Oreochromis niloticus: one gene and its partner. The protein of the gene in region 1 binds, or shares a complex with, the protein of each later gene. Links are inferred from orthologs where the notes say so. Each region holds a gene or a part of one and is shown in the gene's direction. Other genes may lie near its edges. The genes, in order: gnat1 and pde6gb.

Region 1 (15,874 bases):
GCACTCGTTCTATAGCCAGGAGGTCTGTCAAACTGGCGTCGGACGGGTTATGAATTTCTGCAGTGTTTGCCAAAAGTTAATTTTTTGCTTAAGTGGGGAGCCATTACCTGTCATTTTCATACCTTGGCATGTAAGGAGATTTTTTTTTATGTTTGAAAAGATTTTAAACTCCTGATCAAAAGGGAGTTTGTTTATTAAGGAGCTCTGCAGAGTCAGGAATGATGTTTTTATGCAAGCCATGTGGATTTAAGCTTCTTCTTGTTTATCCAATGCACGCTGAGTAAAGTTGAGGGTACAGAGATTAAAGCGTGTGTTATTACATTTCACCTTCAGTTCCACATGCATAACTTTCTTTTCGCTCTTTAAAATGCTGCTTCTTACTTTCAGTCAGTTGATATTTGAGCGAGAAATCTGAGCAGGCGGATCCACACTCTTATTGTTGCTTGTTTTCAGCTTTTCAGATAACTATGGGTTATAAAAAGAAAGGCTAGGATTTCATGGCTATTCACTGAAATTGGTATTTTCTAAAGACTTTTGACTATAGGGTATTTTTTTGTCCAAGGCCTTTTCAAACAAGTGATTTGAGAACTTGTTTCTTCTTTTCCATTGATGAAAAACCATGAAATGGAACTGGGTGTTTTCCTGCTCTACCTGTCTGCATTAAATTTATTTCAGTTTTCCTTCTTATTGTTTTTCCTTGCACTTTTCTCTAATGAAACCATCAGAGGATATGTAGGGCTCAAAACCGCCTCAGTCCCACAGTCACTGGATCCATATGGCTCCTATTAAAGCCATGTTTCACCCGAGATCTCTATTTCACATATATTCCCTGCTGAGGCTCAGGAACTGTAGTTTCAGCTTTGGAAGAGTTTAGATTCAGGATTTCATTGAGACTCTCATAACCGCAATTCATGATGAGCTCACAACGAAGGAAGAAACAGTCTCAGTGTCACAAGTATCATTACTTTGGGTTAGTTAGGTTCATTTTAACAGTTTTATTTTTTTCAGATTTAAACAGGTCAGAGTAGGGAGGAGTATCACAGGAGTAAAATTGTGCATTTGCACTCATTACATGGCCATTTTGTGCATAGTGGTTCTGTCTACTTTTCATGTATTTTTGCCAGCAAACCTGCAGAATGTCTACTAATGCGATATCATTTAACTGTTGCAATCGACTTAGGGATCCAAGTACTTCGTCATGCACTGCCTGTTATGGTTTATGACTCTGACTAATTGCTATAAATCTTTTCATTATCTCGTAGGAGACGTGTATATCCAGCCAACTCAAGACACAAAGAATCCTGTCATCTATGGCGTCTTCTCAGTTTCAGGGTAAGCGTGTGATGGCTTTTTCAAACTCTCTAACTTTGATGCAGTTTTGGATAGAAAGTGTGTTTTGGTTCCCTCCTGTGGTTTTTATTCCTTTTCGCTGAGCCCGAAGGTTGTCTGCTCTGTCTGATGTTGAAATGCGGCGTTGCATTTGTGTGGGCCGTCACATTCAGGATGCAAAGACGAGACAGAAAGTGAATGTGGAGCCCAGAGGGAGTAGCATTCCTCTGGGAGGCTGACTGAGCCTATAAGTTCCTCAGAGGTCAGGTTTGATAGCAGGTTGTCATTCAGCACACAGCATTAAAATTCAAGTCAACCAACCAGACGTGTAAACTGAGATTCTGACGGCACACAAAGCAGGAGGAGGTGCGCGCAGAGTCATAATAAACATGTCCTGATTAATGTATTTGAGAAACAAATACTGTTATTGTTTCCATCTTCTCTTTAGGCATCAGGCATGTTTAAACCCAGCTGATAAAAACACATGTGGTGCTAATGACAGGGGCCCATGACAGAAGTTACAAACATAGTACACCCACCACACAGCGGCGAGAGCCTGTACTCTGGCGATTCTCTGCAGTATGTGGGTGTTTGTATGTCAGTGTGTCAGACAGCTTGACTCTACTTGAGTCAGTTTGAGTGTGTGTTTGTGCGTCATAATGTTTCAGTGTGTTCCTGTAAGTATGTGAGTACGTGGGAAGGAAGTAGATTCTAGCAGCCACGGAGAGCTATCGCACTAATTATCCCAGGGAGTGAGAAAATCTGAATTCTCGAGCTGCTGTCTTTATGTGTTCACCTTTTTTTCTTCTTTTCCTCCTGCCCTCCTCCAGATCTGTGTTTAAAGGCTCGGCAGTGTGTGTGTACTCTATGGCTGACATCCGGATGGTCTTTAATGGGCCATTTGCCCATAAGGAAGGCCCTAACTATCAATGGGTGCCATACACTGGGAAAATACCCTACCCTCGACCTGGCACTGTGAGTTAAAACATATAATATATATGTTACTAGAACCATGAATAAGATAAACAAGTAAATTGCTCAACAGAAATTTTTTGTTTTCTTACTAGTGTCCTGGAGGCACTTTTACCCCCAACCTGAAATCCACAAAGGATTACCCAGATGAGGTTATCAACTTCATGAGAAACCACCCCACTATGTACAACGCTGTATACCCAGTGCACAAGCGCCCCCTGGTGGTCAGAACCAACGTGGACTACGAGTTCACCACAATTGCCGTCGATCAAGTGACAGCTGCTGATGGGAGCTACGAGGTGCTATTCTTGGGCACAGGTAAGTGTTTTAAGAACAAAACTGGGCATTGTCTGATGATTGCACAGTAATCTTACACTCATATCATTGTGCACTGTTAAGTTCTGTGGCCTTGGCTTTATCTGGGAGGTTTGCACGCACATGTTGAAACAATCTGTCTCTTAAACATTAATGAGTCATAGTGTGGGTTTCCAAAAACCAGTTCTCTGTTGCACATATTTTAGAATAACAATGAAGAAACCAAGGTCAAGGTATTAATAGCCAAATAAATCAACAGAGCTCAGCCAAAGTTACTTCTTCCCACTCTTTCAGATCGAGGCACAGTCCAGAAAGTGATTGTCCTGCCAAGAGATGACTTGCAGACCGAGGAGCTGGTGTTAGAGGAAGTGGAGGTGTTCAAGGTCAGTCTTGCAGCCTTAGTCACTTTGCTACTAATCTTTTTGCCCTACTCTACATTTATATATGCCATGTTTGTAATCTGTGATACAAAATAACAAATCCAGCGTTCACATTCTTTTAATTATGTCACTTCAGGTTCCCACTCCAATCACTACTATGAAGATTTCATCAAAAAGGGTAAGTTAGTGTAATTTGATTCAGACCAAATAGTTCAGCTAACAGCAATCAGACAGGAACACAGTCATCAAATTCAATCTAAGAAAAAAATGCATGATTAAATACAAAACATTGTAGTACACAACCAAGACCTGATATCCAACTATACATTTTGTGTAATTTGGTGCAGCTTATACTGAAAACAGACACAGGACTCGAGGGTAGCTTAGAGTATAGCCTAACCCGGAGCCTTCTTATGTCAGTTTGAGGATGATGAAGAAACTCAACGCAAGTAGCTTCAATCAATTATTCATTCTTTAAATATAAATCTATAATTCTTCCTTGAAGCATTAGAGATGTCCAGAATTGTAAAATAAATGGCCTTTGCTCTAAAGTATGTTGCTGTTTTAATTTCTAATTTGTATTTATTTTTCTTTTAACAGCAACAGTTGTATGTCGGATCAGTCCTGGGTGTGACCCACTTGGCTCTCCATCGATGCGATGTGTACGGGGAGGTCTGCGCTGACTGCTGTCTCGCCAGGGACCCGTACTGTGCCTGGGATGGCAAATCCTGCTCCAGATATTCTGCCTCACAGAAGAGGTGAGGGTCAGGATTGTGTAGACAGGGAATATATAAATGCAGCAGACGAAGTGCAGCAACAAAGTATTTGCACTTCATTACTTCCCATCTCTGCAGTTGGAGTATTTATGCAGATGTCTTATTTTTCAAGTGTGTTTCAGTTAAATTTTATATCTGTGGCTTTTGATTTGACCCCTCTAGGCGGAGTCGTCGGCAAGATGTGAAGTATGGAAATCCTATCCGCCAGTGCAGAGGTTATAGCAGTGAGTGTCGCGTTGTACTAAGACTATAGAATACACCAGCATTTTTTCACTCCAGAGCTATCTCACAAATAAAATTGCAACTGTACATCATGTGTTGTTTTGTAGCCAATAAGAACCCTCTGGAGACAGTTCAGTACGGGGTGGAGGGAAGCACTACATTCTTGGAGTGCCAGGCCAGGTCTCCTCATATGTCTCTCAAGTGGCATGTGCAGAAGGAAAACAGTGACCGCAGGAAAGAGGTGAGTATAGCTCTTATATTAAACCTTCTATAATCTTTGTTTATTTTTTTTTTAACTTAAAATCTTTACTGGCCTTCTGTTTGTCCCAGATTCGCTCAGAGGGTCGCATGCTGAAAACAGATCAAGGACTTCTGATCCGCTCTCTACAGTCCTCTGACGGCGGCATCTACCAGTGTACGTCCACAGAGAAAAACTTCAAGCACACTCTTGTGAAACTGCAACTGGTGGTCCTTTCTAGTCGCACAGTCAACAACATTTTGGTGGAGACAGGCAGCCCGGCTCTTCCTCCGCTTCAGTCCAGTGCCTGGACTCCAAGTGCCAGTCAGTATAAGGACCTGCTAACTATCCTCAGCCAGCCAGAGATGGGGCTGATCAACCAGTACTGCCAGGATTACTGGCAACTGGGAGACAGCAGCTTCGGGAACAACAAAGGCAAAAGCCTGAAAGAGCTGAAAGAACAAAAGAAACCTCGTAACCGCCGGCATCATGAAGAGCAGACAACTCCAGCTGAGACATGAGAAGCTTGATGTACATCGTATTCAAACAACCCCCTGTCTACCTTTACACACAACCTCCTAAACATTGCAACCCTCCATTTAGGGGAATGACTCCAGTCAGATAGAAAACTCAAATTCTCATCAAAGACAAGACAGAAACTGCAGAAACACAACGCAACAGCATCAAACAGTTTCTATGTAACTGCTGGGGATGGGGGGGAGGGGGAAATACACAATATTTATTGTAGGTTGTAAAAAGTAATTATTTGTACCTATCTAGCAACCCTGTTTTTTGTGAATAGATCAATCTGTGCAAATATTGTGGTTATTATATTATTATTATTAGTGTTATTGTTTATTAAGATGTGTTATTTTGTTGAGAATATCTTTATGTTTGGTGTTTTTAAGAAACAGCGACACTAAACCCAGACATTGGGAGTATCCATACATGGACAAGAACTGATGGACATGTATTCAGAAACTGCTAAGTGGAGACCATGTTGGATCCTTTGACTGCTGGCAGTATTCAGTGTCTAAGCTGAAAGAGGAGTCGGGATGTCCGCGAACGTCTCGTAAATCTCTGAACTTCTTCACCAGATCTATGTACTGTATATTGGACAGTTTGTTTTGTTTTTTTACTGCAAAGTACAAGCTGTTGACAGAAAAAACAATGAAAATGGCATTTCACAGGACATGCACGGATAATGGAAATGCCCAGAGACTGCAGCTGTGACATCACGGTCGTACAGTTATATGTGAATGAAGAGCCCTCTGTGGCAGGTAGAACGTCTTTCCTTTCACGATGTGGTCCATTTGGGCCTCAAGTAGAGCTGTTACTCATCTTCTTCCAAAATCGTTGCTGCCAAGTGTTTGTTTTGTTTATATGTGAATATCACATCTCAGTGTCGTATCCTTAACGTGATCTTTGTGATAAGCTGTTTTCTTTTGGGGGGGAAAGAGTCTTTTAATGACACAAAAGCTGATAACATAACATTGCCTTCTCTTTTCTCTCTTTGGGAAAAGATATTCCAGCAGGCAGCTATGTGTGAGTTTGTAACAGTTTGTGATTATAAAATGAACAAAGCACCTTCTGTTGTTGAACTGGTCATTTCAAAAATATTAAATACTTCCCCAATATCTGTGGCATTTTACATAGTGTATTCATATAAGGCAAAGCATTCAGTTTGTAGGCTTAACAATTTCTTTTTAGCTCTCTTAATCCATTCCTGACATTTCTATGCTCAATATCAGTTCTCACTAGGTGAATATGTAAAAATGTAATCGGTCTACAAAAACTGGGCTGATGTTCAGAGCTTTGGAGAGTAATGTTTCCGATTAGGGATGTGCTTAATGTATCAACTACTTACCAACAACGATGTTTGCCAGTATGGTTCCGCCACAGACGTCATATAAAAGCACGAAAAAGATTAAATTCTACAAGGTGTCACAAATACAAACACTAGCAAAGCTGATTGCCACCAAACCTGAAGAGAAACCTTTCCCAAAATCTTTAGAAGGTGGCTTTTCATTGTGCATGACATGTACAGTGTATGTATGTGGTATTTGTCTAAAATTCTACATTGCTGTGGATGTCAGTGAATGTCTTTCTTGTTGTGGGAATATGGAAATGTTATGGATGTGGTCACACCTTTTTATGGTGGGAAAGTCTGGAAGGCAAGATTGTGATTTTTATTCTCTCTCTCTCTCTCTCTCTCTCTCTCTCTCTCTCTCTCTCTCTCTCTCTCTCTTCCTATTCTCTTTTGCTCTCAAAAAAATCAGAAAAGCAAATGATTTGCAGACTTTGAGGTAAAGTTATGTATGCACAGTTGGTGTTATTGTAATGACTTGTAAAAAATTATTACCTTTTCTTCCTTATCATTGTTGCTGACTAATAAATTAAAGCTCTATATTTTATAATAACACATGTTCTCTTCTGTTTGCCAATGTTGGCACATAGTACGATATGCTTCCTACCATGCAGGCACTTCTTTCTTCCTAACAGCCTTACAACCATACGTAAGTAAATACAGATGTGGTTGGCACTGTTCTAAAACAATCTCAAAAAGCCCCATGCTCCTTACACTTCAATCATAGTAGCACCAAAAAACGTCTGCACTGGCTTTCCCACCTACTCTGTTACTTTTCAAATGAGTGAAAGTTTTTACTTTAATAGCAGATAATGCCTGGTTCTGCTGTAAAGATCTAGTGGAAATGGTAGTATGAAGAGCTAACCACGCAGTACAAATACTCAGTGAAGTTGTAAAATTAGCAGATAAGTAGACCAACAGCAACATGCTGAAAACACTTCTGAAGATAGCCTTGTAATAGGCCTATACTGTGAGTGTTTGAGAGCTTAGACTATGATATTATATCAGGGACAGCATTGGCAGTCATTGGAACATGAATACATTAATTTTGTGTCACTTTACCTAAAATGTTTCCATAATCTAAACGAGAGAGATAAAAGACCCAAGCTTGAAGCAAGTTTGTGTTGTACCTTGTATCTTGCAACTAATCAAGATCATGTGTCTTTTTTTCCATTTGCAATCTGAGTCCATATGCATGAATACAATGTCAGTCTCTTACTGCCCAAACAAAACAAAAGCTGTATGGATAGCTTAACCACAGTGCCGGTAGCTATTTTCCTAAAAGAGGGAAAAGACCCCCCCAAAAAAAGTTAATAAGGCCAAATTGACCATGTTAACATGGCTAAATGCACTGGGTTAGTGCTCTGGGACTGAGTGATAGATATTTCCATTAACACAATAGTTAACAGGTGTACCTAATAAAGTAGTGGTCAATGTATATCAATAATATTAATCATATTAATAAATAGTACTTTATTTAAGCGTGGTAGTTGATCAGGTATCTTATTCTTTTTATTAATCTTGTGCACTCTTTAGTCAATTAATATAAATTTTGGTAACTAGTATCTGTGGGTGGCAAATAAACCCAACGGAGTAAAAAGTACAAGGATTACTCTAAAATGCTGCAAACCCGAAGTGTAAAGTGGCTAAAAATGTAAAGAAGTGATTAATAAATTTCACTTACCGGTATACTAAAGTAGAGCTCTTGAGTAAATTATCTCATTGTGCTGATTTGCTACAGTGTATTCATTCACAGTGAGTTTATTGTTTTGAGCTCCTCATAAGAGCACAGTAAGATTGCTTTATTGAATTTTTAAGGAAAATGTATTTCATCCGTAACACATCAGTGCACATGCTGTACATACAAGCATGCATAGACAACTGAACGTGAGTAGATTAGGATCCTTAACCAGCTTCAGATTGAGGTCAATGAGATCTGTCGGGTGAAACCCTAAAGCCCTTTAAGCACTTCAGAACTCACCCTTCAGTCTGTAGTATGTAATAAGAAATGTCAGTATTTCATATTTGGACCTGGAGCTGAGCGTCTGGTTGTGTATTTAATTGGCTAATTGATTAAATACAATTGTGTCTTTGTTTGTCTGTTTAAAAACAAATTACAAAACCTTTATCTATCTTTAGTCCCTTAAAAGCACTAAGCACACAACATGCAAACATACACTCATTATCTTCCCAGATTTAATAATTTAACTTACTGCTAATGTGGAATGGATTTCGTTTGGTTAACCAAAACTGCACTTATATAAAACACCTAGCATCACAAATATTTAGCCTCACATGGTCCTGTTTGAAGGCACCTAAAAACAACACAGAGAGATAAGCACTTGAGCCGCTGTTCATCTTCCGCTGAGCACAGCAAAATCCCCATAAAGGTTAGATAGGTTAGATCCTACACTGATGTATGCCCGAGTCTTCCCCTGCACCTTTCGCTCTGCCCTAAAAGCACTCCTGTCCTTGTGCTCTATTGGTCACCACTGATCAGGTGGGTAGAGGATGCCCAAAATCCTTTCCTAAGTCAGGAAAATGCTCAAACATTCTCCAGTGTTTGCAGCACGCAGTTGACTCATCAGCTGCACAGTTGAAGGCTCCGGTCACATTGTTGACGAGCAGCTAGGACCTGCCTCCATTTTTCTTGGCACTTGGCCTTTGAGCAAAGGGGGCCCAAGCCGGGTAAAGTAGGATGGGAGCTGGAGCCAGCGCTGAGGAAAAACGCTCCAGGGAGCTGGAGAAGAAACTGAAGGAGGATGCCGACAAGGATGCAAGAACTGTCAAGCTGCTGCTGCTAGGTAAAGACAGGAGAGCTGGTAGAGCCAAATGGCTAAGACGCATTAGTAGAAAACAACAATATCTGGTTATACATATCTAAGGGCCCATGCTGATGATAATTAGAGCACTTTTAATTCTAATTAAAGTGTAGGAGAGACATTGTATTGCACAGAAGTTCTGGCTGTAGCATGTTCTGTTCGCAAACTTGAGTTTGCAAAGAAAAAACATACAAAACTCCCTTTTTTCTTGACGCAATTTTTTTCATATACTTGATGTCAAATAATCATACAAATAAAGTAGAAGTACTGCTATGGATAGATCTTATTTACCCAAAAACCCTTAAAAACTTACCAAATTGCCTAATTTTAAAACAACTTAAGTGCGTTGATAAGAAGTTACATGTCTGTGTCATGTAAAGGCTTAATCACCTGTGTCCCTAAATTGCTAAGACACCTTGATAATCACTCAAGCCGATCCTCTGTTAATCCTGAAACAACAGGTCCTTCAGCACAAAGGGCTTAACCGTGAAGGACACAGATACCACAAAACCCAAACACAGCCTGTGGCTGTAGCCCTCAAATATATATTAAAATACACTTTATGCAATGTGTCGATAAATCAATGAGAAATGTGCTTGTAAAAAGTCATGTCTGTGAAGATTTACAGTTTTAGATAGATCAGTAGCTTAACCAGTAATTTCATACGCCACACTGTGTTTTGCTGTATAAAGAAATACTGAATTTTTAAGGAAAATCACTCAGTATTACAGTCAGGTATATTTATCTGACAAATAGTCGTGGATATTGTGTGATTTATAGCTTTTTTTGTGTCCTCTAGTAATGTAGGTCAGGGATAAGAAAAGATTAGACCTGAAGTAAGAAGTCCTTTATCTGATAAAAACCATAAGGTCTTCTGTAATTAACACAAAAACACAAAATTAGCACAAAAATAAGGTCAAAATTAAACACTTATCTTTCCCTAGATCCTTAAACATGATTAAAGCATTTTTATAAACATGTCATTTAAACAATTTAATTCTTGTTCTTCTTCCATACAGGTGCTGGAGAATCAGGCAAAAGCACTATTGTCAAACAGATGAAGTAAGCTGACTTTGCATCTGAGCAGTGCTGACCTTCTTTTAGAGTTGACTGTAGATTGCATTTTTTTAATGCTACATTTTTCTCACCAGAATTATCCACAAAGATGGTTACTCGCTTGAAGAATGCTTGGAGTTTATTACCATCATCTACAGCAACACCCTGCAGTCCATCATGGCCATTGTGAAGGCCATGAACACGCTCAATATCAACTACGGGCACTCTGATCAGCAGGTAACCACTGCTGACACTCATTTCCACATACATACGAAGCTAAACAGATTTCATGTTCCTGATAGCTCACTAAACGCACGCATGCCTCCGTGCAGGATGATGCCAGGAAACTCATGCATCTTGCAGACACCATTGAGGAAGGCACCATGCCTAAAGAAATGTCAGATATCATTCTGCGTCTGTGGAAAGATTCTGGCATACAGGCATGCTTTGACAGAGCTTCAGAGTACCAACTCAACGACTCTGCTGGATAGTAAGAAATCACATTTACTCAGGTTTAACATTGCTACATTATTCTAATCTCTTGTATCAGGATGTGTCATTGATTGATTCCCTTTTTCTCCCCCCGGCAGCTATCTGAATGACTTGGAGCGACTGATCCAACCAGGCTACGTGCCCACTGAGCAGGATGTGCTGCGATCAAGAGTGAAGACCACTGGTATCATCGAAACTCAGTTTTCTTTCAAAGATCTCAATTTCAGGTGAGCCGGAGCAATGTTTATCAAGAGAATAAGACAAACAAATCAGCCGCTGGGCTTCCTGTGTGCACGGTGGCAAACAAGGCAACATGCTCCTCTTCCCGTGCAGAATGTTTGATGTGGGTGGTCAGAGGTCAGAGAGGAAGAAGTGGATCCATTGTTTCGAAGGCGTGACCTGTATCATCTTCATTGCCGCTCTGAGCGCCTATGACATGGTCCTGGTGGAGGATGATGAAGTGGTATGACAAGTTAAACTATATACTTGATATTCTTTTATTAGGGTCCATATTTTTGGAAAGTCTCTTCACTGGGATTTTTTTTTCTCCCAGAATCGCATGCACGAGAGTCTGCACTTATTTAACAGTATCTGCAACCACCGCTACTTCGCCACCACCTCCATCGTACTCTTCCTCAACAAGAAAGACGTGTTCGTTGAGAAGATCAAGAAAGCACATCTCAGCATGTGTTTCCCTGAATATGATGGTGAGATAATCATTTCAAATACATATTTAAGATAGTGGCAAGCTAAATGAAAGCAAAACTTTATAATTACACTTTCTCGCCCAGGCCCCAATACCTATGAGGATGCTGGTAACTATATCAAAATGCAGTTCTTGGACCTGAACCTCCGCAGAGACGTCAAAGAAATCTACTCTCACATGACGTGCGCTACCGACACAGAGAACGTCAAGTTTGTGTTCGATGCCGTAACCGACATCATCATCAAAGAAAACCTGAAGGATTGCGGTCTCTTCTAAAAAAACACGCAGAAAACCAGATGAAGGTGAGCAAAGTAGAAAAATTATTTTAAAGATAATTAAGATGAACTGTTGTCATCGGTCACTATGGTTCACTCCTGTTTATTTTTATTTTTTTACAGGGTGCTGGTGCAGCCCTATCACATTTCACAGATCCTTTTCTCAATTCAAACTGAGGCCTGAAGATGAAAACTGCCCCTGCAAGCAGCCATCCTCAAATCAGCGAATGCAAAAAATAAAAATCTATTTCTTGTGTTCAAAATTAAGTTCTAGCTTTGACCAAGGACTTCTTTTCAGATAGCTCCAAATTCAGAAACTTCTGTGCAGATTTCAGATGAGTTGAATTTTAGTTCATCTAACTTTTCTCTCAAGTCTCTTGAACTGGTCTTTGGGGGGGGCATGCAGTGTGTAGTTAAAACATCAGGAGCTTCTGTCAGCAAACAGTGATTTTTTTCTCATGTAATGTGAAAACATTTCCAGCTAATGCATTGTCTCTGTGTTACGGTAAGTGATCAGTGTATGGCCAAAAGGGCAAAGAAGATGACCTAACCACCTGCATATGCACTTCAGCCTCTGTTAGATATTTTAACAGAACCTTTCACTAGAAACGGCTTTTATGTACAAACACAATACAGCAGTTTGTAACATAACTCGAGCATGTCACAAATTGAACTTTTCATGAAAGTGTTAGGAAATCTAACTCTTTACAATAGTTGAAAATGGCCAGTGTATATACTTAAGCAGATTTCTATTGGACAGTTAATTAAGTATGGCGACACCATGTTGATGATATGTAACAAAGTCGAGGGATAGATTTGTCAAAGATTTGTTTAAGTTAATTAAAACTCTGGGCCTTTGAGCCAACAATTCTGTACAGAAACCACTAATTGTATTCCTTGATCAAAGTTATTAAAGCTTCTGTAGAAAACTCAGTACTTCTCAGTCTTTCACAAATTAAAAGCAACTCTGCAGTGTTGTGTTTAGAATCTCACATTTATTATTTTCACTGAATATTTCCCTTAAATCATTGAAACGTGGCATTTTTACAAGTGACCGCCTTTAGTTTTTCATAAACGTTCAAAGAACAGCTCTGCGTTGAAGATTCTTTGCCTCCCTGTAGAGACTCAAGACGAATGTATAACACAAGACTTGGATTTTTAAACAAATATTTTAAAGGGGTTTTATTTAAAAAAAAAAAAAAAAAAAATACAGTAACTATTCAGCAGTTACATTTTTTTATACGTAGATTTTCAGAATCTCAAAATAGAATAATTGACTGACAACTCCATGTCCAAATGAAGCTTGTTGCTTTGTCAAATTAAGCAGAGAGACCTGAACTTGAGTCCAGGGGTTGAAATTGCATTTCATATATTTTCAGTGGAAATCTCAAAATTAGGTCCAAAGGGATCACAATGTAAGTCAAGAAGGTCATTATTAGGCGGAAAATACAAAATAAATGTCTCACTATCTTCATCAGCAGAAAAAAGATCTAAAATGTATTAGAAAACAATTAAAAGTCCAAAAATTTCAGCCATCACCTCTGCTCGAGAACTCAAAAACAGAAAGACAAGATTAGACGTTGCCAGAAAACCTCTTACAGAGCCTGCACAGACAAAAGGTCATAATTTGAAGCCCACCACATGATGAGTCAAACACAGTGGAGGCAATACTATGGTACATGCATGTCTGCCAGTGGAATCGAGATCAGACAGTGCTTCACAGTGAAAATAGGTACTGACCCAAAACATACCGCAGAAGCAAGACAAGAATTTCCCAATGCAAACAAATGAAATCAGTCACAAGATCTCAACCAAATGCAGCATGTTTTTCAGTTACCGAAGGCCAAACTGAAGGTAGAAAGTCCAGCAAACAAGCTGAAGAACTCCATGGGTTTGAGCCTGAAAAAAAAAGTTACTTAAAATCATCCTTGTAGCAATAAAAACTGTTTTCGTTGCAAAGTAGTTAATACTATACGTTGCAAAACCCATTAAATTAAAGCTGAAGGTTCTGCACTTCAATCACATTAAGATTGTATGACTTAAAACCCACTGTGATGGTTTATCCTCCTGAGAACCAGCCTGTTCATTTATGTCCTCTGTGGACATTTGTTTTTGGTCTACATCTTTTGACCCTACTAAGTCCTGACCTCAAAAGAGGACATCTGGGGGTTTCCATTGATATCTCATGTGTTTGGGTGGCCCTTTTTAGCTCCAAAGAGGAAGGAAATCACAAAAGAAGTTCAATGGGAAGATTCCTTTTTCCTCGATTCTCAAGCGTTTACAGAGGCAAAAAGAAAAAAAGTGTCATCATCTTGATCCTGTTTGATGACAGTGATCATCTCTTCTGCCCAAAGGGGCAACCAATCAGGAGAAAGTTAGCTTAAAGAACGGGAGAAGGGAGCTAAAAGAGCTTGTTTCAGAAAGAGGAGGAGCTGAGGGCCTGAACCAAAGCCATTTGATAAATATTGTTTTAAACTGTGAAAAATGCAAAATAACTCTATTAGAGTTAATTAATAAAAATAAGGAGCTGGAAATGAGACTAATAGATCCCCTTTAATGTGTCAGAGCCACAAACGGACTAAACAGACTGTTTTCATTTTGATTAAACAAATTATGTGCTGAGCAGGAAGCTTCAGTGTACTTGAGAATGTAATTTTTTCTCCTTGGACAGAGCAAAGGAAACATTTTCCCTCTGCAAACTTAGGATAATTGCTCAAAGAAACAGTACAGTGGCCTCTTTTAGCAGATTTATGAATGTTCATTTAACTCCTTGGAAGAAAATAAATGTGTATATTTCCTACAACTATTACTTTGAAGTGATTGGGGTAATTTCCTTTAGAGAACTTAAATATCACTGATATAGTGCAGCACATTATCAAAGAACATGAATAGCCATCTCCTACAAATAAAACATTTATAATGTGATGTAATTGTGTAATGCACTCACTACAGTCAATATACAGTCAGGATGTTTGGCAAAAGTGGAAGAAAAAATCTGTACACGAATAAAACATCACAGCTAATTTAAAAAAAACCCCCCAACATCCTCTGTTTATATTTGTGGAAGAAAATCAGTTTTCACAGTATAACTGTACTTCAGTGTAGCCACTCTGTGACCTCGGACAAGCAATTTGTAACATTTGCAAGAAAACTAGCACCATCTCGAGATATTGTAGGCAACGTTTCAAAAAGTTTTATTTCTTATGAAAGCATTCATTGATTATGTGTTTATTTTAAACCCTGAGTTCTCACCACGTGGTAATCATCCTGATAACACAAATTAAATTGCAGGAAAGTCTGTATACTGACCGTGTCTGACAGAAAACTGATGAAAAATCAATTTGCACTTCTTGAAAATTAACTATCATTGGGAAAAAAAAACAATGCATTTTATGGCTTTTTTTACATCTAAAAAAAGAGCTTCATGTTATAATCAGTGTAAAACTGTACATACACATGGAATGACTCTTTTTGCAAAACATAACAGTGGCCTTTTTTTCAGCCATGTTATTCACAAAATTATCATATGCACTTCACAGCATCCAGAGAAACGAAGACAAATTGAAGGCACTTTAAAGAGTCGTCATTAATCTCCCGCTCATACAGTTGTGGCACAGCTCTGTTCTTTGTAAGACATTGAGTAGCTAGACGCCTGAGAGATCAATGTTTAGCTCAATACTAATCAGAAATTAATTAACAGCTAACAAGCAGGAGGCAGTTTACCTTTATGTTGTCTGTAACTCCCTGGATACTGAGGTTTGATGTGATGTGCAAAACACAACTAAGACAGAAGACAGTTTAAAATCCTTGCAATATGGCTAGTGCGGTTTAAGAAAAAAAATATTCATAGTGGCAATAGTTTCGGCTCTTTTGCAAACCAGCCTCAGGTGTACAAAAAGAACGACATTCCTATGAGCACGATCTAACGCAGCCTGTGGATTTGACAGTTCGTACCTGTTATTATCATCTGTTAATATACAGCCCTTATGTAGAAGCACTGATCTAGTGTGAATCACCTGCACGGAGGCACCAAATCATCATGTTTAGAGAGACTTTTTGTTGAGTGTTTTTATAGGCTATGCATTTTCATGTGTGGCTAGATGGCACTGTTCCCATTAACACAGCATTATGATTCCCAGCTCAGCTGAGAATTCAAATGTGCATACACAAACATAATCACACACATTCATACCTGAACAGACATTTTTTTTGTTCCATAAGAACACAACAGTTATTCACCACTTTCACAATGATTTGCCTGCCAAAATGCAACGAAGGATGAATCCTCATCTTCCCACAGAAAAAGTCTGGCAACATTTTCATCCACCAAAACAGGAAAAAAAGCTCAAACTTAATTTAATCAAATTGCTTTCTCAGGATTACTTTAGTGTGAGTTTCCCAAGCAGCAGAACAGACAGGAAGAG
Region 2 (15,546 bases), on another chromosome or scaffold:
CGTTTGATCAGTGCCACATCCCCAAACCATACACCATAGCAAGCCTTACTATTATCTTGTAAACCTTCACTTTCACTTTTGATGCTATTGTTCTGTCATAACTCAATCACTCCATCCTGCCTGTACTGTCTTCTTCACCTTTCTTGCACACTGTTTGCTGCTTTGATGGTTGACACCAGGTATTTAAACTCATCCACTCACTCATCCACTTCCACCTGTCTCCTTCTCATTCACATATATGTATTCTGGCTTCTCTTTTCAAAGCATACCTCCACCTCTCCAGGCTCTCTTCCACCTGGTCCCTTCTCTCACTATAGATCACAGTGTCATCTACAAGCATCACAGTCCACGGAAATTCCTGCCTGATATCATTTCAATCAAGAAGATTCACCAAAACACAGTGAAGCTCCTGACCTTCTCTATACTTCTCCATCAACACTCTCAAAGCAAATTTGGCATTTCTAGTGCGGTAAGTGATCAGACACTACTACTATAAAATAAATACTGTAGTATTAATAGTAATCATCCCGTCTAGTGAAGACAACCAATATTATTTTTGTCTTTTAATGTGTGTCTATAATATTTGTCTGGCTTTACTGCCGTTTCTGCTGTTTGTTTGTATTGTAGAATACTGACACCTGCTGGCCAGATGAGGGAAATATTTTTATGTCCCGCCCAAAAACCTAATCAATGCTTTCAATTGGTTTAAATTTTACAAAGCCCCCATTTGATTGGGTGATATGCTGTATGCTGGCCAATCACCGCTTTTGTTTACAACCAGCCTCAAAAGGTCAGAGTTGAAAAATGGGAAGTAATGCAGCTTTAGCTGTTACAGCAGCTAACATGGTAGAAGTTTTAAACTCCGGGAAGGAACAGCTTAATTAAACATTCACTCTGGAGAAAATGAACCACACAGAAACATAACCGCGCGTCCTGCCGGATTCTGCAATGCTGTGTGCGGGTGTTAAAGCCGTGAGGTCGTCGGTGTCATTACGAAAGGTTGGTGGCTAAGCTAACGGTTCGTTTAACAGCGGATGATGTCCGTTATGTTTTTAACACTGGAGTAACTTTACACGGTCATTCGTTTGATAGTAATAATCATTCTTATCTCGAAAACGACAATAGCCTAAAGACACTCATTTAATTAACGGACACGTCCAACTGAGAGGAAACCCAGCAAACACCGGAGAGGTTGTCTCTCTGTGGGTTGGAAAAGCCCCGGTGTCCCTCCCAGAAGAGCTGAAGGACGTTACTTGAGAAAGGTAGCTCTGGGGAGCTCTCCTTAGACTGCCGACCCGAGATAACACAAACTGGAGAGAGGCTGGAGGGCTTTACAGACCAGGATCAAACCTTTAAACCCTGTAAAGAGCAGATAGAAAACGGAGATGCTTGAGAATTCAGTCTGTCATTATTATTATTAGTAGTAGTATTATTATTACCACCATTGTTATTGAGACCATACTAGGATCAACAAGTTACAGCGCCCCGGGCACAAATGTTTTCCTTTCTTCAGTAATTATACTCATATATGAAAGTGTACCTACTGTACATGTACACAGAACAGCTTGATTTTAACTTACTGAATCCACCACAATGCACAGTTTCACTAAAATCTTTACAGTGTCTGATAGGAAATGGAATATTAAGCAGTCAGGGTTTTTATTAACCATATTACTAATTTAAGTATCTTTACACACACACACCTGAAATATTAAGAGATTTTTAATATTTACATTATCATTATTATTACTATTATTGTTATGATTACTATTTAATAGACTAAAATTTAAAGACAGATTGATGTGTCCTCATCGTGTCTCACATGATTTTCACTGGTTCTCTCGCTGTCCTCAGCAGTTATGGACGAGTCATGTTCACAGCGGGATTGTTCACCACCTCCCTGCAGGACCAAATTCGCCTGCTGCTCCTCCTGTTCTGACGGACTCTTCTGAGCCCGCCAACACAGAACAAAAGCGTGACTCTATCTCCACTTGGACCCCTGCCCAGGGTCCCCCACCGCTTCCCACGCACTGCTGCATGAGTGGCTGTCACAACTGCGTATGGATTGAACACGCAGAGCAGCTGCTGGAGTACTACAACGATGGAAGCGAGCGAGCGCTCGTTGCTATTGAGGAGAACGTCCTCGATGAGAACCTTAAAACTTACCTGAAGATGGAGATCAGACTCTTAAAAAAGATGTGACCGTCGCAGCCAAAAACCCTTCACAGGCTGATATTTTACAGCACACAGTGTACCTCCACATTTTCACTCCTCCTTCATCCTGTGGGTCCCACAGTATATGTCTAATTTTAGAAAGATGGCAGACATTAACAGATAAGACTTTGGGTCTTTGATGGTCGTTGTTATGTTGCACTTATCTAATATTTGCTTCAACAAAGCAGGAAAAAAAGGAGTCGCCATCTGGCAGGTTGCTGGAAATCATAAATACTCAGGATAAAAATACTCTTTGATTTTTACTGGAATCTGTTCAGACCTGCTTTGGCCTTTATTTCATTTAGACAGTGCAGATCTGTCAGGATGTCAAGAAATCTCAACCATGAAAGAAAAAACACAAACACTTAAATTTGCAAAGGCTGGAGAAATTTATTAGGAATATCAAATTAATTAATTTGAAAATGAAAGCAACTCATTGTAAAAGAGTTGAGGCAAGAAGTATTTCTCCAAACTTTGAGTGTTTTTAAGTTATCTAAGGTTCCAGCTTCCTGTGTGGCTTCATAGTGTACAGAGAACAGATGGCAGTCGGACCCTTTTAGATCTTGACATGTTCGTTTTTTTCTTAAGGAAGGGTTATTCATGTTGTTCATACAGGGTCCTTGAAGTTCACAGTGTGAAATGTTATTTTTCTGTTAGAACCTTGTTTGTTGGTCCAGCTCAGTTGTGGTTCATGTTCAGTGTCTCCGCCTGACTGTGCTGCTTAATAACCCCAGGGCAGATGTTATCGATGGGGGCGTTCTGTTGCAAAACTATAGAATCATGAAGATGGACTACAAACAGGTCCTCTTAGATTTCTTTGCTAGTCATGCAGGCTGACCAAAGACAATCCAGTGAAAAATAGCACTTTATTACCAAATATTTGTAATAGGAAATGTTATTCACTCTGCTGTCCACTCATACATTTCTCTTGGTGCTTAAGAGATGCTTTTCACCTCAGTGCAAGATTTTCTTTGTGGGTCATATGACTTGTTGGAAGGTATTATTTCTTTTCATAAAGTGTATCTTCTGTTAAAGGAGGTGATGAAGTATTAAAGCACATTTCCTTAGTATTTGGAGAATTCAGTCAGGTCTGATTATTAAGGCCTCACTCAAATCAAAACCTGCCACAACTTTTGTTTCCAACAGTCTGAAGTTGTGCACAGACTGCAGTCCCAGCCAGTGGTCTGCTATAAAGCATAAGATTGCATCATTACACAGTCCAACGATTCTCTACATGAAAGACCATCGTTACTGTGAATAAACATAAAACAAACTAGTCCAGTGAAGAAATAAATAGCTTGAGCTTTCAGGGGTCTGAAACTGCAGCTTTTTAGAAGGTGTGATGAGTTTTTGTCCCTTTGCAAGTAATAGTTGTAATGTGCACAGCATCACGAGCTGACAAGAGGAGCAATGTTTGACACTTCAGGGATGTCTGAATTGTTGTCACGTGCTGTTTGGTGTTTGATTGGTTTGCATTGTGTCTTTACAGCATTTGCACATTTGAAGCATCAGAACAACACTTTGCCTCTCTGTATTTGAGTTTATTTAAATTATATTAGAAATTAGTTTTAATCCAATGCTTGTTAAATAAATATTTTTTATTTACTGTCAGATTCAGAGTGCTTTATTTTTGTGCAGAGAGTTGGTGCTCACAACCAAACATGCAAATAAGTTCAAGCCTGAAAAACTTTAATAGCCCCTGTAGCCACAAGGGGGAGCTACATATGCATAAAACTGTCTGCTGTACTGGGAAAATGAGATATATGACCACCTAACCTGTTTATTTCATCATCATGTAATTTTATCCAACCAGCTCCAAGTGTTTATACTCTAATGTGATTATAGTCAGAATATTTAACAAGCATAAAATCTTTGTGGCTTCAGGAAATCAAACTTTGTTCTTATTGATATTTACAGTAAGTATGTAAAACACTGCATTGTTCTCGTGTTGTTAATGAGATTTAGATCCCTGCAGGCTTCTTCTCTGATGTGTCAGAGAAGAAGCCGATCACGTTCGGTCTTGCCACCTTAATGACGTCTTTAGTTAGCCTTCTCCCAGTCCCTCTGGACCAGTATCTGAGGTGACAGTGACCCTGATCTCACTGAGTCAGCATTAGTCCAGTAATAGTGATGCACTATAAGTCCTGATTACTCAAGGTCCAGTGCTGCAGCTGCAGCCAGCCATACAGCGTGCAGAGTTACGCTTTGATCTGGGTTATGCAGCGGATTAAGAATGAGACGTTTCACTGATCATATGTAGAGCAATGACTCTGACGTGATGGAAAACATTCGAGACAGATTATTGGCTGATGCCGAGGCTGCAACATGACACTTTGCATCATTGCAGTGGGGAAGGTTCTACGAACAGTAAGCTGCAAGAAGTCACAAGTTAGCGCTAAACAGTTTTCTTTTTTCAGTTTCTTTCAAACTGCCATAAAATTGGACCTTTCTGTAGTTTAATAAAGGCAGAGTGCCTGTAGCTCTATACAAGAACTCGTCAAGAACGATGTGTTCACCAAACGTAGTCAGATTCACAGGTGTGGGTAGAAAACATTGCATTTAAACTAGTCAGTGATAAAACTGATAACTTGAAAGAATTAAATGTTAACTGCAGATGAGTTCAAATGTATAAAACTGTGTCGTCTGCAAAGACAAGAAAGAAATGTGCCAAAAATAGGGCCCCGCCGAACTCCGTCAACAATCACTTTTCTTAAAGGATCCTAAAATCAAGCTAATATTGAACCAAAGAGGAAAGATTATGTGATTCATTGTGATTCCCTTTTTCATTAATTTTTACATTTAGATTTGTTTTTTCAGGATGTAGAAAGCGTGGCCAGTACTCTCCCACATTAGTGTCTTTAAATCTAGAGTGTCTTTAAATCTAAGTTTCAGAGTTTAAGTAAAATCCTTCTCCTCACATGCAACGTCTGATCCCATCACATCTTAAAAATCTTATAGCCCTTTTATCCCAACAGAGCACTTCCCTCTCAGAGTGCAGGATTACTTGTGGTTCCTGAAGTTTCTAAAAGTAGAGGCAGAGGCAGAGCTTTAAGGTTTCAGGCCCCACTGCTGTGGAAGCAGCTCCCAGTTTGGGTTCAGTCAGACACCTTCTTTACTTTTAAGATTAGGGTTCAAACTTTTCTTTTCGATAAAACTTCTAGGGCTGGACCATTTGACCCTGAACTGTCCTTTAGCTTAGGCTGCTGCGGGATTTCCCATGATGCTCTTCTGAATCAGTATCTTCTCAATTTGCCTCTTTTATACATGTATATACCATGACTGCACATACTAACATTTGTCTTCTCTCTCTTGCAGTTTGTTATTTGTCCTGTTTACCTGCTCTCCTTTTTTTTTTCTTTTGTCTTTTTCTTATTGTTTATTAAATTTTCACTTAAACTTACATGCATTGTTTTGCAGGTTTCATTTAAAGGTGAAGGTCAGTATCAAATGAGTGAAGGATTTCTTTAGCACTGCTTTGTGATGGTCCTTCTAGTTTAATTATTAAAAAAAGTCCGAGCTGCTGTTTGGGATGTCTCCACATTCAGTATGTCTCTAGCATGTAGATACGAGCTGCTGATGTTGGCTTAGTCCCCTGTTTAATGAAGAGTACCCCCACTGCAGGGTGTTACACTGATACACACAGACAATGTAAAAGATTTCTGTGGGTTGGAGGATTGGAGGGTTTCGCCTTAAGCAGATGGAGAGATGATTGCATAACAAAGATGGAGTGGGACTGTGGGGCTTTCAGGAAGCTTCCAGCTCCATCTATAATCTGTTTGAACATATTGTAAGCTGTGTGATCTCATCCTGCATCCTACTGACTCAAATCACTAATTTAATTAGCAGTACCTAGAGGATTTCTAAAGACATTTCTGGAAAACTTCATTACAAATACTGTAAAATACATAAAGATCATTTTTATATGGCAAACTGCATTTATCACAGAGCATCTTTCCTCCACAATCTATCATTTCCAAAGTGATTCTGGAAGAAATACTCAGATCTTCCTGATGCTTAGAGTTCAGCATCAACCATTTACACATGAAACAAGGAGCTCATTAAACAAAACTGTGAGGCTCTGTTAGACAAACACTGCTCTAGAAATAACTGCAACTAATAAGTAATACATAGATGAATACAAGCATCTATGTACTGTCATGTACTGTACTGTAATTTTTAAAAATCTTTATATTAATTTACAAGATAAGTAAATTAAGTAATTCACTCTGATACAAATGCCTTCATCATTTTAAGCCATTTAGTGAGGTGCAAGCAAAAATGCTGTTATTACCTGAGTTCTGCATCAGGACTGCAACAATTTTCCTAATTTGATCAATTTGTTAATTATTTTGTCCAATTAACTGCTATTATTCTCCAGCTATATAAGGGACACTTCTCTTATTTAACCTAATCTAAAATCCCAAACAGCATTCATCGTTGCATGCTGTTGGAATGCTCTGATGGAAAAGGGAAAGCAGCTGGTTGTCACTCATTACTTGATCAGGTTTAAGCAACGAAAGCATTCAGTTTAGGAGGTGCAGGAGGAGACTGTGGCCTGGGTTTAAATCATGGATGTAGCCACAGTAACGTGACCCACCGGCAGCCTTAATAGCATCACGGGGTTTTGGGAACCAGGCGTTACTATAGAGGGACATGCTAAGTTGTCAGCTACATTTGCCAGTTGTCTTATAATATACAGGTGCAGTGCACAGACACATTTACCTGCTAATTGGTCCTAAGTAACAGGCTAATAAAATAGTAGAAAATCACTGACCAAAACTGAAGGACGAACTTCAAAACATATTATTTATTAGATAATTACCACAGAAACGCTCAGAAAGTGAAAGGTCTTAGCTGACTGCTACCATTGAATGTGTTAATCACCGTGGCCTCATGTATGAATTTAAGGCTTAACAAAATCAATCAGGTGAGTTACAAAAAGGGAGAAACTATTCATAGAGGCCAAAACTTTGTAGCAGGCTGTAAACATGTTTACTTCTGCTTTAAATTTGCACATGGACACTAGAGGTACCACATTTCTGTAATATCTTCACTTTTCTACCATGATCCTTAAAGGAAAGCATTGAAACGGTAGCAGCGAGGTTTTTTACAACAGGCAGTCTTGGTCATGTCTTTTTGAAAGCATCAGTATTTATGTCCTGAATGGCACAAGGCTGGTTTGGACATATTGTGAGAAAGAACTTGGTGAGTGTAGATCAGTGGGCATCAATAATTTTAGTTTGTTTAAGTATGTTGTGTACAAGAATATCAGCTTTAGAAACCGCAGCTGCCAGATAAATATAATGCATTGAAAAAGTGCAAAAAATCAATAAAATCAGTTTTTAAAAAAAACAGATAATTTTTCCCAGAATGTTATCTTTTCTAAAATTTCTGTAGTGTAGCTTCTGTAAATATTAACATTCAATGTATGGTTACAAAATATGAGAAAACATCTGTAAGACAATAATAATACGAACAATTGTATAATTTCACAGTGAAATTTCTCACTGAAATGTTTGAAGTTGACTGTAAATGTGCACAGTTATTCTCCACCGCTGTTCACAACGTGCACAATCCACTTTTACACCTATGTACACATTACAGTTTAACCTAAACCTCAAACATGTGAACTGTTGACAGTCGAGAAGGGAGGCGGTGCCTCCGTAATCTCCCGCGGGTGTCGGCTATAAGAGGGACCACAAGCCCCGACTGGCCCTCACAGCAAGCCTAGCATAGAAGTCCACTCATCTGCTAGACGGATCAGCGCTGCGCTCACACCCACTCGTCTGGCTGTTCTTCACCCAAGCAGCCGGTGAGTAGACCATCATCACCGATCAGTGCTGATATTCAGACACCGTCTGGATTTAATAGAGCGGTGGGAAACTTTGTTGCTCTTCTGCAGCTGTGTGTGTGTGTCAGTGAAGAACGTGGGTGTTAATATTTGTTTCTTTATTAGGAGAAAATAATCCAGATAAAAGAGTTTAGAGCTCCAGAAATGATCACGCTTGGGTATAAAAAAGTAAACAGCAATTTGTGGTGTCGTTTATAATGTGATTAAACGTGACAGAGTAAATTAGTGCAGATGTTTCTGTAATCTATAGACCGATGCTGTTTAACACTCAGTTATCAGTTATTTAAAAACTGCCTACAGTGCAAACTTACTCCAAACATGGATAAAACAAGATGTTGTTTCATGTACAAGTTTTAGTTTTATTTATTCACCTGACAGATACATTTATCAACAACCTGGACAGAAAAAATATTTAAAAATGATCTCACAACAAGGTTCACTTCGGTTTGGCCTGTTTAAAGCTGTCAAAAAAGTTTCATTTTAAAATTCTTGATATTAAAACTGTGGCTCAAACAAAAGCAGATCTCTGAATATGTGATATGTGATTATATTCAACCCACACATATTCTTTTCTTTGCCATGTTTTTGTTCTCAATCATAATTTTCTGTCTTTAAGTGTTTTACTTTTATATTAGTTGTTTGCCTTTGCTTGTTTTTATTTATTTAAATGAATATCAAGGAAAGACGTCTTGCCCATGTGTATTCAACATGTTAGATAAATCGATAGTTAAGGTAATATTTTTTATTTGAATATCAGAGAACGATAATGTAACAGATTTTTTATTTTTGTTTCATTAAGTGTATAAGTAGATTGGTTCAGTAAAAAATGACTTGATCACCAAACGAACATTTTTGCTGATGAAACTGAGAGCGCTAAAATCTGACATTATCAAACAGCAGTGTTAAGGTTTTGTACTTTCCCCCCTTTTTTAAATCAGTTGATTTTAATTTACTTTCTATATTTTAATTTTGTTTTTTCTAATTGTCTAAAAATATTTGCTTTTGTTTAGGTTTAGTTTTTCTTAGTTTATTTCCCAATTTTCTTTAAATCCACAGGGCGTTTCTCCAGGCAAAATTCAGAATTGAAACACAAACATTTCCATTAAAGCCTCCTCAGACAGGCTGTGATGGCAACTTTGACCAAACTGGCAAAAACTAAAAATCAGGACGTTTGTTGCTTTGTTTGTTTTTGTGTTAGTTAGCATTGTGCGTTAGCTGTAATAACCTTGGTATTTATCCAGTATAACCACATTAATGGTTAAGACCTGTTCAGGGTTGTCTGTGTCATTACATGGTGAGCGGATTTAATCGTTTAGACCTTCAGTGCATAGCTCAGCGTTTCTGCAGCGGTGTCCTTGCTTTAACAAGATTACGAGTTCACCATCAGCTCGAACCAGAGAAGGAGAGCACACGTATTAACTTGAGCCAGGGATTATGGGTAATTGGGTCATCCCAGCAGGACAAGCTGCAATGTGGTCCACCACATTCAGGTGCTGGGAAATATGAGAGTGTAAATCCTGGCAGGTGCTCATCAGATCTGTAATAGGATTATAGATGGTAATGTCAAATAGAGGTGACAGGAGCTGCGTGCTACCTGTGACATGGTTAGAGTTTTAGATCATTCGCTGCTTGACACTAAAAGGATTTACAGATAATAACCTAGTGAGAGTTTCTCTTTATTTCTCTGTTTTTAATTGCTTTTTTCCCTTGTTGTTCCCAAAAATAAAGACTTCACCACCACGACTACACTTCAGAGAGGTGTCTAACGCTAACAGCCTGCACACACGTTCTCATACATAACAGCTCAAAATGAATCTTGAGCCACCCAAAGCTGAGATCAAGTCAGCCACCCGCGTCAGCGGAGGCCCCGCCACCCCACGCAAGGGACCCCCCAAGTTCAAGCAGAGGCAGACTCGTCAGTTCAAGAGCAAGCCTCCAAAGAAGGGAGTCCAGGGGTATGCTCTGAATACTTTTCTTCTTCAGGGTCTTGTAAAAAACTAAATAAATCAAATCAAGTGATTTGTAATCATCACAATTCTCTTCTTTGCAGATTTGGAGATGATATCCCTGGAATGGAGGGCTTAGGCACAGGTAAGTGTATGCTAGGGTTGACACCATTGGCTTTAGTGCTCTGCAGGGTCCTGAACAACTTCACATCTGTGCTGTCTTTTTGCAGACATCACTGTCATTTGCCCGTGGGAGGCCTTCAATCACCTGGAGCTGCATGAGCTGGCCCAGTATGGTATCATCTGAGCCTTCCCACATCTCCCTGCAATCCCCTGAGGATTACAGACCACCTTCATGCACTTCAAACCATCTGCCTCAGGATCCATCTCCTATCTTTATGTGGAACTACTGAACCATTATGAACTGTAACAAACACAAAAAAATGGAAAAAGAGAAAAAAAAAAGCCACACAAAAAAAACTCTTTCTCTTTTCTAACTCTGGATTCTTTCTGTGATTCTGCAGCTCACACACATCTGCTCATGTTTAGCGTCTGTTCTTTTTAAAATCTCACCACTTCTCGCAGTAGACCTGCACCGTCGCCCGGCCGCTCTCCTCTCTTTCACTTTCTCTGTCTCTCTCCTTCCTTTTTCTTCTTTCCTGTTGTCCTCGCGGACAAAAAACAAAACGAAACTTACGCAAGCAAGGCAGCCTCAATTTGAGTTTAAGTGACAGACCCGTGAAGTGGGTGGGTTCCCATTTCATGTGCTTCGGCGCCTCTCTCGCCATCTCAGAGGCTTTTTCCATCGACGCCGAATCTATAAAACTCTAAACCTGAATTCTGTAGAGAGCGGACACCAGCTTGCTATTGCTAAGCATAACATTTCAATGGGATATGCGTTAATCAGATATCCCTCTTTTCCCTCTGTTTTGACCTTTAACTGCACCCATCTTCACCAGAATGCACAAATCTTCACCCTCATGGTATCTGGAAGTCTTCTGTTAGTTATGGCATGTGAAGAACAACCTCTCACCTCATTTTCACAACACAAACTAAGAAATAAGCCGCTTTAATCTCACCTTAGCAGATTTTAAATGTTGAGGAAACCAATTTCTTCTCTTCAACTACCAGGAGTGTGAGTGTCTCCATCATTTTCCACACTTTTGTACTCTGTTAACATTATCGCTATTTGTATATCTCCCATATAAATCAGTGTATATGAATCTATGTATTGTATATTTAATACGTGTTTATTTCTAATACTTTCACACACCACTACTGTGCCCTGTGTGTGTGTTTGTGTATTTGTGTTTTTGAGCTCATTATTTTTAGCTCTCATTTGTTGGTCTCATGTAGAGTAGGTTGTACATTTTTCCTCACTGTCCATCATTCGGTATGATGTTTATTTTATTTCAGCTCTACAGTCCTCTTTATCCCTGTCATCTTTTTGGCCCTTACCCCAAACTTGTGTCTTTCAAAACATTAATCTAATCGAGACAATGCTGACAAGCTTTGACGATGTAAAGCTGGTGGATGCACTGTAGTAGTGAAAAAGATGGCAGAGGGATGAGTGGGATGGATGTTTCAGTACAGATCTGAAGACATGTGTAGTGGAGCGTTGTCCTCTCTACAGGACGAGGGATAAAAATAAAGCATAAAAAGAGGAAAATAAAAAACGGTGTATTCGTTTTTTTCTAATCACATTCTTCTGTGGAGGATTTAGCTTGGATTTAGACCTATTATGCATCTATTTACAGCAGGTACACGCAGGGGGGAAACTTACACTAAAGCACATTTAAGTATTACTGTATTACCTCATGATTAGTGTAACATTTTTCACATCCATTTATATTTAAGGTAGTGCAGATGCAAATAATAATTCTGCACATGCAGGACTGAGTTGTTGACTTGAAAATATTTGAATCGACTGCCATAAATTTACTGGTGACAGGACTAAATGCACATTAAATCACAAAAAGCCATCCTGAGAATATGAAATCCACATGAATATGAATTCCAGAGGAGCAGAAAGACAAAAAGAGACCTTTTATTATTATTATTATAAAGCACAGCATACAGATAAAATGGTGTGAAGCGACACTATTTACACAGAGTGGACACGGGTGAAAACATGAGGATCATGCTGGCAGTTACGAACGAAGAAGTGGAGAGAGGGGAAGACAAAACTAACAGATCTGAGGTTAATAACAGGAAACTCTGGGAAAACATTAACATTATGCTAACATAAAAGGAAGAATATCAATAAAAACAGTGACCCAGTTAACAAGAAACCAGGACCCCAACATCCACTTTATATTTTACTTTATTGGTCACCCTAGTATCGTTATTATGTAGTGAATACACTTCATGATAACAATTTAAGTTTTAGAGTTTATTAGTGTGTTTATTGGAAGAAAATGACGGCTAATGTAATTTCAATTGATACTTTTGTAATGTAGGCTGTTTTTGGTTCACTTGGATATAGTAAAACATTAAAAGTACTTGGGGGTATTCAAGTACACTTCAAGTGTCTTGTAGTATACTCAGTAATCCTTCTTGTGCTTTAATACAGCATTGGATAACTAAATCTTTGAGGACACTGTGACTAAAAATAAGAATAATAAGTTTGTACAGTGGTCCCTCGTTTATCACGGGAGTTACGTTCTAAAAATAATCCGTGATAGGTGAAAACCGTAAAGTAGTCAGCTTTATTTTTTACAATTATTATAGATGTTTTAAGGCTGTAAAACCCCTCACTACACACTTTATACACTTTTCTCAGACAGTAATGAACATGTTCACACTTTTCTCTCTTGTTTAAACACTCTCAAAGTTCAAACCTTCCTAGAAGAATAAGTCTGGTATTACGGAATGAAATAGAATAGAGCAGCTGCGAGAGAATTCAACATTAATGAATCAATGGTACGGTAGTAGAGGAAGCAGAAGAATGAATTGAGAAGAAGTTTGACTGATCTGACGGTTTTGTTTCGCTTAATGTGCCTTTAAATCCAGAAAATACGGTAACTTCTACCTTCCTTTAGCATGTCCAGAAGTCCAAGTTTTTGTGCGATGGTTAGCATCTTCCGCAGGTGCCTTTGACGGTGCAAAACGACATTGTTGTGTTTGTTGGGGAGAAAACTTACAAACACACAGTACAGCACTTCAGAGTCACACTGCTAGTGATCGAAGATTTATGTAAATTTGACAAGCTGAATGCTTTCTGTACTGTACAGGAGACACGGCACGAGATTGATTGACAATGGTCTACAGCCAATCAGTGCGCAGAACACAATGCGCTGTTTTAAAAAAAAGAGCATGCAAAATTGCACAAAAGAAATCCGCGAAAGGTGAACCGCGTTATAGCGAGGGACCACTGTACAGCGATGCGCTTGGTTGCCTACTTCTGTCTCTGCCAGGTATTGGTTGGGTGGTGCTGCTTCAATTTAGGATGCTCGGACATTGCATACACGCTGATGTCCTGACAACCATTCACACTAAACGTTTCTTTACTTTATTTAATTGGACAATTTAACAGCATCCTGAGACTGTGTGGCCTAAACTCACTGTAGAACCCAATTAAGAAGCTAATGTAGTGAGCTCTCTTCTTGAGGCCTTACTATGTGGGTATTTCAGAAGGAAAGATAATGTAATGCTTTGTCCTGGACACAGCTCATTTGGCGACAGTGGAGAGGAAGAACTTAGTTTGAACAGGAAGAGACCTCTGATACAGCCTGGCCTCAGGGAAGAGGAGTCATCTGAGTGAGTGGCATGGGGGTGATAAGAAAGAGAAAAAAAGTTTATACCGCAGGTAATCTGATGAAATTACATTAATTTTACTAATCAGTGCCCGGCTGAGCAGCACTGATTACCGTCGAGCAGAAACTTGGATAGTGATAACATTTCTTTCTCCATTATGATTTAACTGTTCTTACATAGTTTGACATAAAATTAGCTTTAGCTTATGCAAATAATACACATAAAACATGAGTCTGTTGAAAGAATGGTGGTTTATTTTATTTACAGTTTTGATGTGATTTATGTTTCTTTTGTTGACCTGAATGAGGTCACTATCTCGATTTGTCAGTGAAATTTACAGTAGTGCAATATTTGCTTAAGAACCTGGGATTACATGAAAACGGTACAAAGACAAGTTATCAAATGTTAAGAAATTTTATTTGTGGACCTGAAGTCTACATCAGCCTCAGTCCATCAAGTCCTCAAAGGAAATTAGAAACACAGTTGTCTTATACAAAATATTTATCAGGCAAATTCACCTTTAAAGCCATCATGAGTGGTTACATTGCATAGTAAAAAATAAATCTGGGAGTAATAATAAAAATCATAATACTGGTAAACAACAAACTGTGTATAAGGCTGAAGGAAGGAGTATTATACATTTTGATCAACACTGAAAGTACACTTTTTCTCAATATAACACTTTATTTTTAGCAATCAAGCTACACTTTCCTGCTGTTAACAAGAGAGAAGTCGAGACGCTTTTCTTTCCCTGGTCCTTAGAATACGATGACCTGGATGACTCTGAACCTTCGCAGACATAGTCCATCCATCCTTTTTCTTAACCACTTATCAAATTGAAGGTGACAGAGGGCTGAACCCAGTATTAATCTTATTTCTGTTACTAAATGTACTGCTCAAAAAACATTAAAGGAACACTATGAAAACACATTAGATCTCAACGGGAAAAAATCATAATGGATATCTATACTGATATGGACTGGAGTAATGAGATAGGAATGAAAGGATGCCTCATTGTTTGAGTAAATGAAAATTATCTAACCTACAGAGGGCTTAATTCAAAGACACCTCAAAAATCAAAGTGAAAAAAAGATGGTACAGGCTGGTCCATTTTGCCAAGGGCACTAGGGCACCAGTGTGGACCTGCCACGCTGACAGGCAGTGAGCACAGGGCCCACTAGAGGACTTCAGGCCACCCTGATGAAGTCTCTCACACCAGTGTCCTGCTGAAGATCATTTTGTAGCTCTGGCAGTGCTCATCCTGTTCCTCCTTGCACAAAGGAGCAGATACTGGTCCTGCTGATGGTTTAAGGACTTCCTACAGCCCTGTCCAGCTCTCCCAGAGTAACTGCCCGTCTCCTGGAATCTCATCCATGTCCTCGAGACTGTACTGGGAGACACAGCAAACCTTATGGCAATGGCACGTATTGATGTGCCATCCTGAAGGAGTTGGACTACCTATGTAACCTCTGTAGGGTCCAGGTATCATCTGCTAAGGGTAGTGACACTGACCCTTACCAAATCCCAAAATAGTGAAAAAAAACAATGAGAAAAAAGGAGGGAAAATGACATTCCTAATTGGGGGTTGCCTCATCATTGCCCCTGTGGTGCACCTGTTGTTAATTTCATGAACACCAAACCACCTGAAACTGACTAATAACACCCTCTGCTATGACTGACCGAGTCAATATCCCAGTGGTTTAACTGACTTATTTCTATACTCTGCTTAAAAAGTATTTCTTTAACTTTTTTGAGCAATGTATTCTTAACTTGTAAAAG

Evidence for each region.
Region 2: the proteins of gnat1 (region 1) and pde6gb are in contact, whole or in part, in a cryo-EM structure (PDB 7JSN), measured with the Bos taurus proteins. The link is inferred for Oreochromis niloticus from reciprocal best matches to the Homo sapiens genes GNAT1 and PDE6G. Residues at the interface, in NP_851365.1 of Bos taurus: Ser140, Arg201, Arg204, Lys205, Trp207, Ile208, Phe211, Asp227, Val229, Glu235, Val236, Asn237, His240, Glu241, His244, Leu245, Ser248, Ile249, Ile281, Phe283, Glu305, Leu306, Met308; in NP_776846.1 of Bos taurus: Arg36, Gln37, Phe38, Lys39, Ser40, Lys41, Pro42, Pro43, Lys45, Leu60, Val66, Ile67, Cys68, Pro69, Trp70, Glu71, Phe73, Asn74, His75, Leu76, Glu77, Leu78.

Annotation. Positions count from the first base shown.
Region 1 is NC_031970.2:17,204,362-17,220,235, forward strand, and holds gnat1 (guanine nucleotide-binding protein G(t) subunit alpha-1), read left to right. Parts: upstream 1-8,636; 5' UTR 8,637-8,797; coding exon 8,798-8,903; intron 8,904-9,940; coding exon 9,941-9,983; intron 9,984-10,072; coding exon 10,073-10,214; intron 10,215-10,309; coding exon 10,310-10,467; intron 10,468-10,567; coding exon 10,568-10,696; intron 10,697-10,802; coding exon 10,803-10,932; intron 10,933-11,022; coding exon 11,023-11,176; intron 11,177-11,260; coding exon 11,261-11,451; 3' UTR 11,452-11,477; intron 11,478-11,573; 3' UTR 11,574-12,422; downstream 12,423-15,874. Other genes in the region: sema3fa (sema domain, immunoglobulin domain (Ig), short basic domain, secreted, (semaphorin) 3Fa), read left to right, coding at 1,263-1,332, 2,160-2,304, 2,397-2,619, 2,911-2,999, 3,133-3,174, 3,597-3,754, 3,935-3,996, 4,102-4,235 and 1 more. UniProt on the Homo sapiens protein: Functions as a signal transducer for the rod photoreceptor RHO. Required for normal RHO-mediated light perception by the retina.
Region 2 is NC_031973.2:3,636,904-3,652,449, reverse strand, and holds pde6gb (phosphodiesterase 6G, cGMP-specific, rod, gamma, paralog b), read left to right. Parts: upstream 1-7,913; 5' UTR 7,914-8,026; intron 8,027-9,793; 5' UTR 9,794-9,874; coding exon 9,875-10,020; intron 10,021-10,115; coding exon 10,116-10,156; intron 10,157-10,241; coding exon 10,242-10,318; 3' UTR 10,319-11,687; downstream 11,688-15,546. Other genes in the region: oxld1 (oxidoreductase-like domain-containing protein 1), read left to right, coding at 949-999, 1,855-2,202.